Macaca mulatta: one gene and its partners. The protein of the gene in region 3 interacts with the protein of the main gene of each other region in a pairwise test. Links are inferred from orthologs where the notes say so. Each region holds a gene or a part of one and is shown on either strand. Other genes may lie near its edges.

Region 1 (3,649 bases), on a different chromosome or scaffold from region 3:
TCAAAGTCAAAAGGCTTTCTCCAGGTTTTTTAACAGCTTGTACTTTATTATATATGCAACCTTGCCATACCTGCCAGTTAACTCCCCTCCCGCCAATGTTATCCTCGTGATATCAGCTCCCTCTTGGGGCCACTGAGCTGCCCCCCTTTCCTTCTGGGTTGGAGTAGTGGTACCCCTCAAGCAGGCAATGGGCAGGGGGAGATCCACAATTAATCGTCGCAGTTCTCTTAAAAGTATTAACACTTAAATAAGCACTCTTGGGGAGTTGCAAAGGATATTCAGGATGGGATGCAGTGGGAGGCTACCCCTCATCCAAGGTACAGGCTGGAATGAGCTACAGCTGGTCTATCGTGGGCCTCAGAAGGTGAAGAGGGACCGTATTCTGGGGCTTAGTGTGGGTGGGGCATATCCTCCCCAAACTTGTTCTGGTGGGCGATGTTCTTCACATCTAGGAGAGCCTGAGGAGGAGGCAAGAATAGGGCAGGTGAGAGAGAGTGAGGACCCCTCTACCTCGGCTGCAGGGCTGCCCCCACTCCAGCCCTCAACCACTCTGTCTTCTGGACTATCCCACAGCCCCCGCCCCATGCAAAATAATCACATGAGGCAGCCATGCAGAGGGGCCTGTGGTCTCCCTTTACCCAATCACAGAAGGGGTGTGTGTGTGTGGGGGGTGAGTGTGCACGTGTTGAAGGGTCTACCCAGGGCCCACCTGGTGGTGGACATAGGCCTGACAGTAGTAACACCAGGTTGACAGGTCGATGTAGCTGAGGACCAGCGGGTGTCCAGAATTTTCATGGTGTTGGAGCATGTGGCCATTGATGTAACGACCACAGTAGACCTGAGGTTGGGGGTGTGAGTGTCAGGTGGGGGTCAGCACCCCCCTGTAGTTCCAACCTCCGCCCCATCCCCTTCCTCTGCTCCATACCTGATAGCAAGAGAGACACACCCAATTCTCTTGGATTGTTCCACAGTCCCCACAAGGTTGGGTCACGTCTAGGCCTGCTGCAGGTATGGGGCATACTGCCACCAAATGGGGACACCAGGGCAGTGGTGTCACAGCATAAAATATGGCCTGGAGTGGGTGGATGAAACTGAGTAAGCTGAAGACCCCATCTCCCCATTATATGTTTATTTATCACATGCTCCTACCTGGAGACACAAAGTGGCAAGAGAAGGAAGCCACAGTCCCAGCCTGAGCTCACCTGATCAGTGAGGCCCCTAGATCCCTGCATCAGCATCGAATCAGCCATGTCCTGACCTCCAGCTGCCTCTCCTAGTAGGTTCTCCTCTCCTGGGGCCTGAGATTCTGAGGCCCCCTGGACACGCAGAAGTAAGAGATGTATCAGAGAAGCCTGATTCTTGCCCCTTCTTGCCCCTACCTGGGTGTGGTGGGCCTTACCTGAGATTTGCTGCCTAGCTCCAAGGTCCTGAGATTCTCAATCAGTGTACTGGGAGATATCTGGGGTGTAGTTCCCTGCACAGGTGAGGTTGGGGGGGTCTGGTGGTCTGTGCTCGAGGCTAGAGGAGTTTGGATCAGCTCGGTGCCCCCTGGAGCCTCCTCTGACGTAGTCTGGTCCAGTGTGGCTCCCTCCATGGCTGCCTCCGAGGTGGTCTGGGCCAGTGTAGCTCCTCCTACAGCCTCCTCTGAGGTAGTCTGGCCCAGCGTGGCTCCCCCAACAGCATCCTCTGAGGTGGTCTGGTCCAGAGTGGCTCCTCCCACAGTCTTCTCTGAGGTGGTCTGGTCCGGAGTGGCTCCCCCGACAGCCTCCTCTGAGGTGGTCTGGCCCAGCATGGCTCCCCCAACGGCTGCCTCAGAGATGGTCTGGGCCAGTGTGGCTCCCCCTGTGGCTGCCTCTGAGGACTGGTCCTGAGTGAGGGCCACCACAGCTGTCTCTGACTTAGTCTGGCCTGGAGTGGACTCTTCCCCAGATGATGCCGAGGTGATCTTTCCCATGCCTGCTTCCAGAACCTTCTTTTCTCGTGTGGTCATCCGCTCAGCTAACCTAGGTTTGGCTGGTTGGGGTGCCTTCTTGGTGACCAACTTAGAACTGGAGGGTCCCTCTCTGTCTTCTACCTCTGGAACCAGGGAGGGAGATCCTTGAGTGTGGGTACTGTCCTCCTTCCTGCCTCTAATCCCTGCCCCCCAGCCCCCTCCTTCCCTGAGTTCCCTCCATCGCCCCCAAATCCACTCACTCATGACCCGTAAGCTGCGCCAGTATCTGCGATGGACTTGGATGGTCTCAGTGATTGAGGCCAGGGCCCCTGATAGAGGGGGCCGTGGCAGGGTCAGCAGGGGTGGCGGGTCTCCAAGGAGGGAGCGAGTGCAGGCAGCCATGGACTCTGAGATGGATGTCAGGTTATAGCCACCCTTTGTTAAGGAAAAGGGGAGGGAAAAGTATGGTGGGGGTTCATTGGGGAATTTGGAGGGCAACATGTCCTGCCTCCCCAATCCTCCCTACTGAGCCCTGCAAGTCTGGAGAGGGAGGGAGAGTACTGGGAACAAGTGAACAGAACCCACACCTGTAAGATGGGCAGCACCCATTGTGTAAGGTGGTTGTTGTGGGGAGTAAATTGTGATGTAAAGTGCAAGATAACGATACTGATAAAAGCATTAGTAACAGCTGACATTTATTGTTTGCTGTGTGCCAGACCTGATTTTAAGTACTTCATGCATATTAACTCAATCCTCACAACCACAGGTGCTCAGTCTATACAGGAACTTGCCTTCATGCCATACAGAAATCCGTCTTCACACTGTCCAGGAACCCCTGGCCTCACATCATACAGTAACCACTGACCTGACCTGCACAAGACGACTGCTGTGAATCCATACAAAAGACCCTGCCCTGACCTAGTACAGGAACAACTGGACTCCCTCTCCACATGGACTCCTGTATTGACTTTTTTTTACATTCCACAGGAATCCCAGTTGCTATTCTTTTTACAGATAAAGAAACTGAGGATCAGAGTGGTTAGATGACTTGTCCGAGGTCATAACAGCTGAAGAGGCAGCACTGGGGTTTGAACTTGGGCTCTCTGATGGAGTCATCTGTGTTCTTAACTCCCACCGTGTCCTGTCACAAGCAGTACTGGGCACACAGTAAGTGGGACTTTTTGCAAGCCAATTAATTTCTCTGTGACTTATTTTCCTCATCTGTAAAGTGGTGAAAATAACAGCACAGGCCAGGCATGGTGGTTCACCCCTATAATCCCAGCACTTTGGGAGGCCGAGGCGGGCAGATTACCTGAGGTTAGGAGTTTGAGACCAGCCTGGCCAACATGGTGAAACCCCATCTCTACTAAAAATACAAAAATTAGCCAGGCATGGTGGCATGTGCCTGTAGTCCCAGCTAGTCGGGAGGCTGAGGCATGAGAATTGCTTGAGCCCAGGAGATGGAGGCTGCAGTGAGCTGAGATTGTGCCATTGCACTCCAGCCTGGGTGACAGAGCAAGACTTTGTCTCAAAAGGAAAAAAAAAGAGGCAGGTACGGTCGCTCATGCCTGTAATCCCAACACTTTGGGAGGCTGACACGGGTAGATCACAAGGTCAGGGGTTCAAGACCAGCCTGGCCAACATGGTGAAACCCCATCTCTACTAAAAATACAAAAAAATTAGCTGGGTGTGGTGACAGGCACCTGTAATCCCAGC
Region 2 (3,698 bases), on a different chromosome or scaffold from region 3:
CCTCCACCTCATGAGTTCAAGTGATTCTCCTGCCTCAGCCTCCTGAGTAGATAGGATTACAAGCATGCGCCACTACACCCGGCTAAGTTTTGTATTTTCAGTAGAGATGGGGTTTTACCATGTTGGCCAGGCTGGTCACGAACTCCAGACCTCAAGTGATCCACCCGCCTCAGCCTCCCAAAGTGCTGGGATTACAGGCGTGAGCCACCGCACCTGGCCTATATAGCCTCTTTTTAATAAATCACCACAATCACTAAGTGATACTGTGGCCAATTCTACTATTCCAAGACTGCCAAGACATAATCAGCATCGTATTTTAATTCAAAAGATTCCATAAAAAAATGTTAGTTATAGCAAAGATAACTTTCAACAAGAGCCACTTTTTCTGACCTTGTCAACCTGTGAATCAGCTGTTCTTAGAAGCACAGTTACTTGGACACTACACCATTCCTTCAGATGATGTAATCTTAAGGAATTTAGTAATTAGGTGAATTACTAACATAAAACAGTATTTACTGACATGACTAAACTGAAAGGCCTTTCACCTATTCCTAGAGTCTTCACAGAAATCAGACACCCAGTGTAAGAAAACAGTGTTGAAAGCTCTGCTGGTCACATCAAAGAGAATAATCATTTCAACAAATCCAGAGGATATCTTAAAGTATGAAATCTTAAAGCATGAAAGCTCAAATAAAACTACTACTGCGTACTAATACACAGCAACAAAAAGAACCACTGCAGAAACTGTTATAAGACTTTATGAGAGCAAAAACAAATGAAGAGGCGAAAACACAACAACCATTAAGAAAAAAAAAAAAAAAAAAGACAAAGAAGGCATTGAGAGAAGCAGCACAAAATAAAGATTATCCCTGAAAGAAAATCTGTTGACTAAAATATTCTGTTCTAAATACTTAATTTTAAAATTTCGATTAGAACAACACACTGTCCATTTGGCAGACCTACAAAAACATTTCCTTAAAAAATTACCATTACTTCAGCTATATTTTTAAAAGTCCTGTTCACTTGGAAAAGACTATCATAATAATTAGAATAACTTGTCTCACTATTTACTTAGAAATGCTCTATTTAAAAGTAGGCCAACAATAGGAACTTTGCTATTGCACAACAGAGAAAGTAAATGAAATAACATCTATTAACATTCAGTGTCCATAGCATGTTTCTCCATCTCCTAGAACATACTGTGACTTACACTGTCTACCCTGAACAATTTACCACTTCTTCATCCATGCAGTAGCTCAAATAAAGACAGTTCCTGTGTTAATCCCACAATAAGCCTCAGTAATTCTCACATCACCGTCGTTGTAAACGTTTGTTAACAGAAAAAGAATGTTTTTCCTAAAATAGCTACATAACACTAAGACTACTCAAATTCCTAAATAATCCTTTTACAACATGCCTGCCAACTTTATTTTGATACATTAAACATGTGGAGCCTATTTTAAAAGCTCTTTGTGATTTTATCAAAACAGCTTCCTAGTTATTAATGTCTCTTTTTAAAAGAAGTTTTTAGAAGAAATTGAATATTGATGAATTTGGGCTGCTATCAAATGCCTAGGAAGCACTTTTTTTGCCAGATAAGATGGGCAAACGTCCTAGATCTGCTAAATTTGACATGAGAGGTCATGCAATTTTTAAAAAATGAAGAAATAACTATTTCCAACACTCACTGAGTCCTTCATTTAAAAAATCATTTTAGGTGTTATTTTCACACTTTACGTTTAATAATACAATTTTTTTTAAGGCTGTTAGGCTTAAACTATAAAAAAACTGATCTATGGCTTGTCAGTCTATACTCTTAATGGGGCTCCGGTAGATTTGGGGTACTGAAAATAAGTGGCAGTTTCAATTAATAACTTCGCTGTTAGTAATGACATCTGAAAAGGATGGTGCTAGGGAAGGCAGACAAGAGATGCCGGGGGTACGATGAGAAGAGAAACACAATTTAAAGCCACTAAGGAGGGAAGGCGAGGGTAGAACGCACAGACAGCAGAGAAAGACGATTTAACAAGGAAGTGAAGTGGAGCGCAGAGTAGGGCAGAAGCTGATGAGGAAATGAAAGGGAAAAGATAGTGTTTTCAAAGAGGGCATGCACCAGGAAGAGCCAAGGCTTGGGGTAGCCCCAGCGCTTTCGTGTGAAAGAGATGCTTGAAGACTGAAGCGGAGGGAAGAGGCAATCAGTTGGCGTCCAGGCGTTCGAGCAAACTCCCATTCTCTCCCCGCGCCTCTCCCAGTCCTCAGCTGAGCGGAGGCGGCGGCCGGGGAAGGGGCCTACCCGAGAGCCAGGCACGGCGTGCCCCCGCCTAGGCTCCGCGGGGAAAGCAGCGAGGATTCGGAAGGACAGAGGCCCCGGCCGCGGCTCGGCGGCACCGGGAAAACCTGCCCAGGGCTCGGGGCCTCGGCGGCCCGGCCAGTCAGCCGCTTCCCCTCCGGCGGGGCGCCGGGCGGCCTTACCTGAGGCAAGGGAGGGAGAAGATGTCTAGGGCGCCTCGCTCGCGCCCGCCGCGGTACTCAACCCAAGTTTCCAACGGAGGCGCGACCCTGACTCAGCCGCCGCTTCCCCCTCGGGGTCTCGACCACCGACCGCCTCCGCCGCCTCCGGGGCTGTTTACACCGCCCGGCCCCTCACGCCGCCGCCGCCGCCGCTGCTGCCTTCTCTCCACCCCAGCGCCGTTGCCGACTCGGCCGCCGCCACCTCCTCCGCCGCAGCCTCGTCTCTCTGGAGCATCTTCCAACCACCTAACCCTGAGAATCAGAGACTCCAGCCGCGCCGGCAGGAAACTCCCCCGCAACTGCTAGGGGAACGAGGCAGTCAGAGCACTGGCGGCTTTTCCGCCATTGAGCAGAAGCCGCTCGGCTCCTTCTGCAACCCCCTCCCCGCACCCTAGTCCTTCCCCGCCCCTCAGGGAGCCCCGCCTCCAGCTCCCACCCACTGGGATGCCGCGCGCCCTGTCGCGGCCTCTGGTTTGCTGGGAGTCTTGTCAATTACCGCTCCCCCTCCCAGTGCTGCTCCCTCGACACCTCCGTACTTAGTTTACCCCGCCCACCCGGCCCCGCCTCTGAGTTTCTAATTTCCCATTGGACATCAGTGGCTACTTTCAATTGGCAAGGTCAGCTGTCCATCAAACACCGCCCACTAAGTGAGACCCAACCCTTTATTACCATTTACTTTATTCGGCCCCGCCTCCGCTAGGTCCTACCTCCCAAACGTCAGGGACCAGCCCCCGATACCAGCCATAAGTAGAGCCCGCCGTCAATCAAATAACGCCCACCTGCGCTCCTCCTAGCAAAGCCCCGGCCCCAGCGATTGCCTTCTCTTATTGGTCCAAATCGTGGTCCGAACCCCCAGTCACTGGCTTTCTTTGCGGGTCAGTCACTGAGCCAATTTCCAAGTCCGTCACACCGGCTTTTTTTCAAATGAACCCGGAAAAGGCGGGGAGGTATCTGAAAAGCGATTGGTTCGTCTTAGAAAACGGTCAAACCCAGAGAGTCTGTACGGATCCTTTCCGTTCTGTGAGGACCGTGCCCCCTTGTATTTGACCTCTAAGCCTTGCGTAAATCAAGCGCCATAAGGGACCAACGAGCAGTCCAGCTATAGGTGTGGACGCCTGGTCCCACCCGGAATTGCAAGGGCTTGGCTACTGATTGGCTAAGAAAGTCCTCCTAGGCCCCTATTGGAG
Region 3 (3,649 bases):
AATTGAGACAGAGTCTCAACTCTGTCGCCCAGGCTGGAGTGCAGTGGTGCCATCTCGGCTCACTGCAAGCTCCGCCTCCCGGGTTCACGCCATTCTCCTGCCTCAGCCTACTGAGTAGCTGGGACTACAGGCGCCCACCTCCACGCCCGGCTAATTTTTTTGTATTTTTAGTAGAGACGGGGTTTCACCGTGTTAGCCAGGATGATCTTCATCTCCTGATCTCATGATCCGCCCGCCTCGGCCTCCCAAAGTGCTGGGATCACAGGCGTGAACCACCATGCCTGGCCTCTTTTTTTTTTTTTTTTTTTTAAGACAGAGTCTCACTCTCTTTCCCAGGCTGGAGTGCAGTGGTGCAGTCTTTGGGTCACTGCAACCTCTGCCTCCCGGTTTCAGGCAATTCTCCTGCCTCAGTCTTCCGAGTAGCTGGAATTATAGGCATGTGCCACCATGCCCGGCTAATTTTTGTATTTTTAGTAGAGACAGGGTTTCACCATGTAGGCCAGGCTGGTCTCGAACTCCTGACCTCAAGTGATCCACCCGCCCCTGCTTCCCAAAGTGCTGGGATTACAAGCGTGAGCCACCACGTCCGGCCCCCCATATACTGTTTTACCCAGATCCTCCAAATGTTAACATACCACATGTGGCTGGATGCAGTGGCTCATGCCTGTAATCCCAGCACTTTGGGAGGCCTAGGCAGGTGGATCACTAGGTGTGGATCACGAGGTCAAGAGATCGATCGAGACCATCCTGGCCAACATGGTGAAACCCCATATCTACTAAAAATACAAAAATTAACTGGGCGTGGTGGTGCACTCGTAGTCCCAGTTACTGAGGAGACTGAGGCAGGAGAATTGCTTGAACCCAGGAGTCGGAGGCTGCAGTGAGCCGAGATTGCTGCCACTGCACTCCAGCCTGGGCGATAGAGCAAGACTCTGTCTCGAAAAAAAAAAAAAGTCTTCCTTTCCTATTTATTTACTCTTATGGATACTTATTTTATTCTAGTCAATGGTTATGATCTTTTACAATCATCATTTATTTTAGCCAGCCCCTCCAAGCTGGCTCCTGTGTTCTTTGGGCTGTACCCTTAATTCTTTGAGTCTTTTCTTGTCTGCACAAGATGCTCTAGGCTCATATAGTTCCCCCATCCCAGCCATTTCTCCAAGGAATGTTTCCTTTTAGTGGAGAATGATATTTAGAAACCAAATTCTGAGGCTTGGTGTGCTCACTGCCACTGAATTATACCTTTACCTTATTGACTGGTTTCTACTGTTCTACTCAGAGACCCCTGGCACAAGATCCCTGCCCTGGACCCAGAGAAGCTCAATGTCTTCCGGACAGTACGGGAGATCACAGGTGAGTGGTAGAGAGTTTGGCCTTTCTAGAATAGACGAACCACTGGCATAAATTGCGGTATAACTACTTGAGAAAATCATGTCCCAAGTTACAGGGGAGGAGCTAGGAGAACCCAAGAAAGATGAAGTCTGCCTGCCCATATGCCTCTCTCCAACCCCTCAGGTTACCTGAACATCCAGTCCTGGCCACCCCACATGTACAACTTCAGTGTTTTTTCCAACTTGACAACCATTGGAGGCAGAAGCCTCTACAAGTGAGTAAAGACTATGGCAGAAGTGGCATCTTCAGGCATTCTTGAGTAAAATACAAGGCACCGTCTCATACAGCAGTACCTCAATACCAAAGGGTTTCAGAGTTTCATGAGGAAAAGGCAAAAGGAGGGGGATTCCCTCTCAGTGGATCTGACTAGCACTGAGCAAATTTCTTGACTAACATGATTCCATTGAATAGTTAATGTTCCCTTAGTAGTCTCTCCTCTCATCCTGTCTCCTTATTCTCAGCCGGGGCTTCTCATTGTTGATCATGAAGAACTTGAATGTCACATCTCTGGGCTTCCGATCCCTGAAGGAAATTAGTGCTGGGCGTATCTATATAAGTGCCAATAGGCAGCTCTGCTACCACCACTCTTTGAACTGGACCAAGGTGCTTCGGGGGCCTACAGAAGAGCGACTAGACATCAAGCATAATCGTCCGCGTAGAGACTGCGGTGAGGGAAAGGGTCTGCTGGGTGGTGAGAATAGGGAGTCAGGGAGGAGAGAGCTGAAAGGACTATTCTGCCCTAGACATGGGAGTAGGGTTGAGGGATGGAACCAAGGAGAAAGGGGCTGTTAGGCCGGAAGCAGTAACGAGGAAGAATAATGAAGAGAGGGCTTGCTGGGAGTCCTCAGACTCCTCTCCTAACCCACCCCTTCCTTTCCAGTGGCAGAGGGCAAAGTGTGTGACCCACTGTGCTCCTCTGGGGGATGCTGGGGCCCAGGCCCTGGTCAGTGCTTGTCCTGTCGAAACTACAGCCGAGGAGGTGTCTGTGTGACCCACTGCAACTTTCTGAATGGGTACAGTGAGGGGAGCCAGTCAAGGATGGGTGGGGTTGGGGCACTGCCATGGAACTGTTCAGGTGGCATATAATAAAAGCCTTTAGACAGCTTTCTGCATATGCCTTGGTGGGAGTGAGGTAGGAGACCAGGTCATGAAGGTCAGGACTTGGAAGTGACCCCTCTCCCTTTATTCCCCACTGCAGGGAGCCTCGAGAGTTTGCCCATGAGGCTGAATGCTTCTCCTGCCACCCGGAATGCCAACCCATGGAGGGCACTGCCACATGCAATGGCTCGGTATAGTAGCAGCACCAGGATCTCCAAGGGAGACACTCCAAGGGAGACAGAGAAGGGGCAATACTTGGAGCATCTGGGGAATGATATGGCTAAGGATAGTACAGAGAGGCCAGATAATGCTAGGGCCTGCAGATAGAAGATCCTGAATGTCTGGGTTGGTTTTTGCTGGGAGGTATGGAATTGACCTTGGGATCTGATTCTTCCTGACCTTCTCTCTTCCACTCAGGGCTCTGATACTTGTGCTCAATGTGCCCATTTTCGAGATGGGCCCCACTGTGTGAGCAGCTGCCCCCATGGAGTCCTAGGTGCCAAGGGCCCCATCTACAAGTACCCAGATGTTCAGAATGAATGTAGGCCCTGCCATGAGAACTGCACCCAGGGGTGAGTGATGGGATAATAAGGAGAGGGGGTCAGGTGGAAGGGTAGGAGCACAGAACTAGGGTGAGGGAAGCGGAAGCAGAAAGAAGAGAGGCTGTGATTTAAGAATCTCTCCCAGCTGGCCGAGTGCAGGAGCTCACACCTGTAATCCCAGCACTTTGGGAGGCCAAAGCAGGTGGATCACCTGAGATAGGGAGTTTGAGACCAGCCTGACCAATATGGAGAAACCCCGTCTCTACTAAAAATATAAAATTAGCTGGGCGTGGTGGCGCATGCCTGTAATTCCAGCTGCGTGGGAGGCTGAGGCAGGAGAATTGCTTGAACCCAAGAGGCGGAGGTTGCGGTGAGCCGAGATCACATCATTGCACTCTAGCCTGGGCAACAAGAGTGAAACTCCGTCTCAAAAAAAAAAAAAAAAAAAAAAAGAGAAAAAAAAAAGAATCACTCCCAGCTGTGTAGCGAAGGATTGGAGAAAGGGAAAATCAGTAACAACACAAAATTACACCACGGTTTTGGGAACATGGAATAACCTCAGTTCAAGAGGGTTTCACTGAAGAGGGGCTTGGGGAGAGCTAGTAAGCTGGGGGTGG

Evidence for each region.
Region 1: the proteins of ERBB3 (region 3) and HDAC6 interact in a protein complementation assay, tested with the Homo sapiens proteins (2 studies listed by BioGRID and IntAct, with this or other methods). The link is inferred for Macaca mulatta from reciprocal best matches to the Homo sapiens genes ERBB3 and HDAC6.
Region 2: the proteins of ERBB3 (region 3) and PPM1B interact in a two-hybrid assay, tested with the Homo sapiens proteins (2 studies listed by BioGRID and IntAct, with this or other methods). The link is inferred for Macaca mulatta from reciprocal best matches to the Homo sapiens genes ERBB3 and PPM1B.

Annotation. Positions count from the first base shown.
Region 1 is NC_133426.1:48,900,601-48,904,249, reverse strand, and holds the end of HDAC6 (protein deacetylase HDAC6), read right to left. Parts: intron 2,369-3,649; coding exon 2,194-2,368; intron 2,077-2,193; coding exon 1,400-2,076; intron 1,317-1,399; coding exon 1,203-1,316; intron 1,073-1,202; coding exon 926-1,072; intron 839-925; coding exon 710-838; coding exon of another isoform or gene 695-709; exon of another isoform or gene 647-694; intron 524-646; exon of another isoform or gene 459-523; coding exon 390-458; 3' UTR 14-389; downstream 1-13.
Region 2 is NC_133418.1:80,680,399-80,684,096, forward strand, and holds the start of PPM1B (protein phosphatase 1B), read right to left. Parts: upstream 2,899-3,698; 5' UTR 2,473-2,898; intron 1-2,472.
Region 3 is NC_133416.1:63,241,814-63,245,462, forward strand, and holds part of ERBB3 (receptor tyrosine-protein kinase erbB-3), read left to right. Parts: intron 1-1,279; coding exon 1,280-1,353; intron 1,354-1,515; coding exon 1,516-1,606; intron 1,607-1,853; coding exon 1,854-2,059; intron 2,060-2,272; coding exon 2,273-2,405; intron 2,406-2,590; coding exon 2,591-2,681; intron 2,682-2,907; coding exon 2,908-3,062; intron 3,063-3,649. UniProt on the Homo sapiens protein: Tyrosine-protein kinase that plays an essential role as cell surface receptor for neuregulins.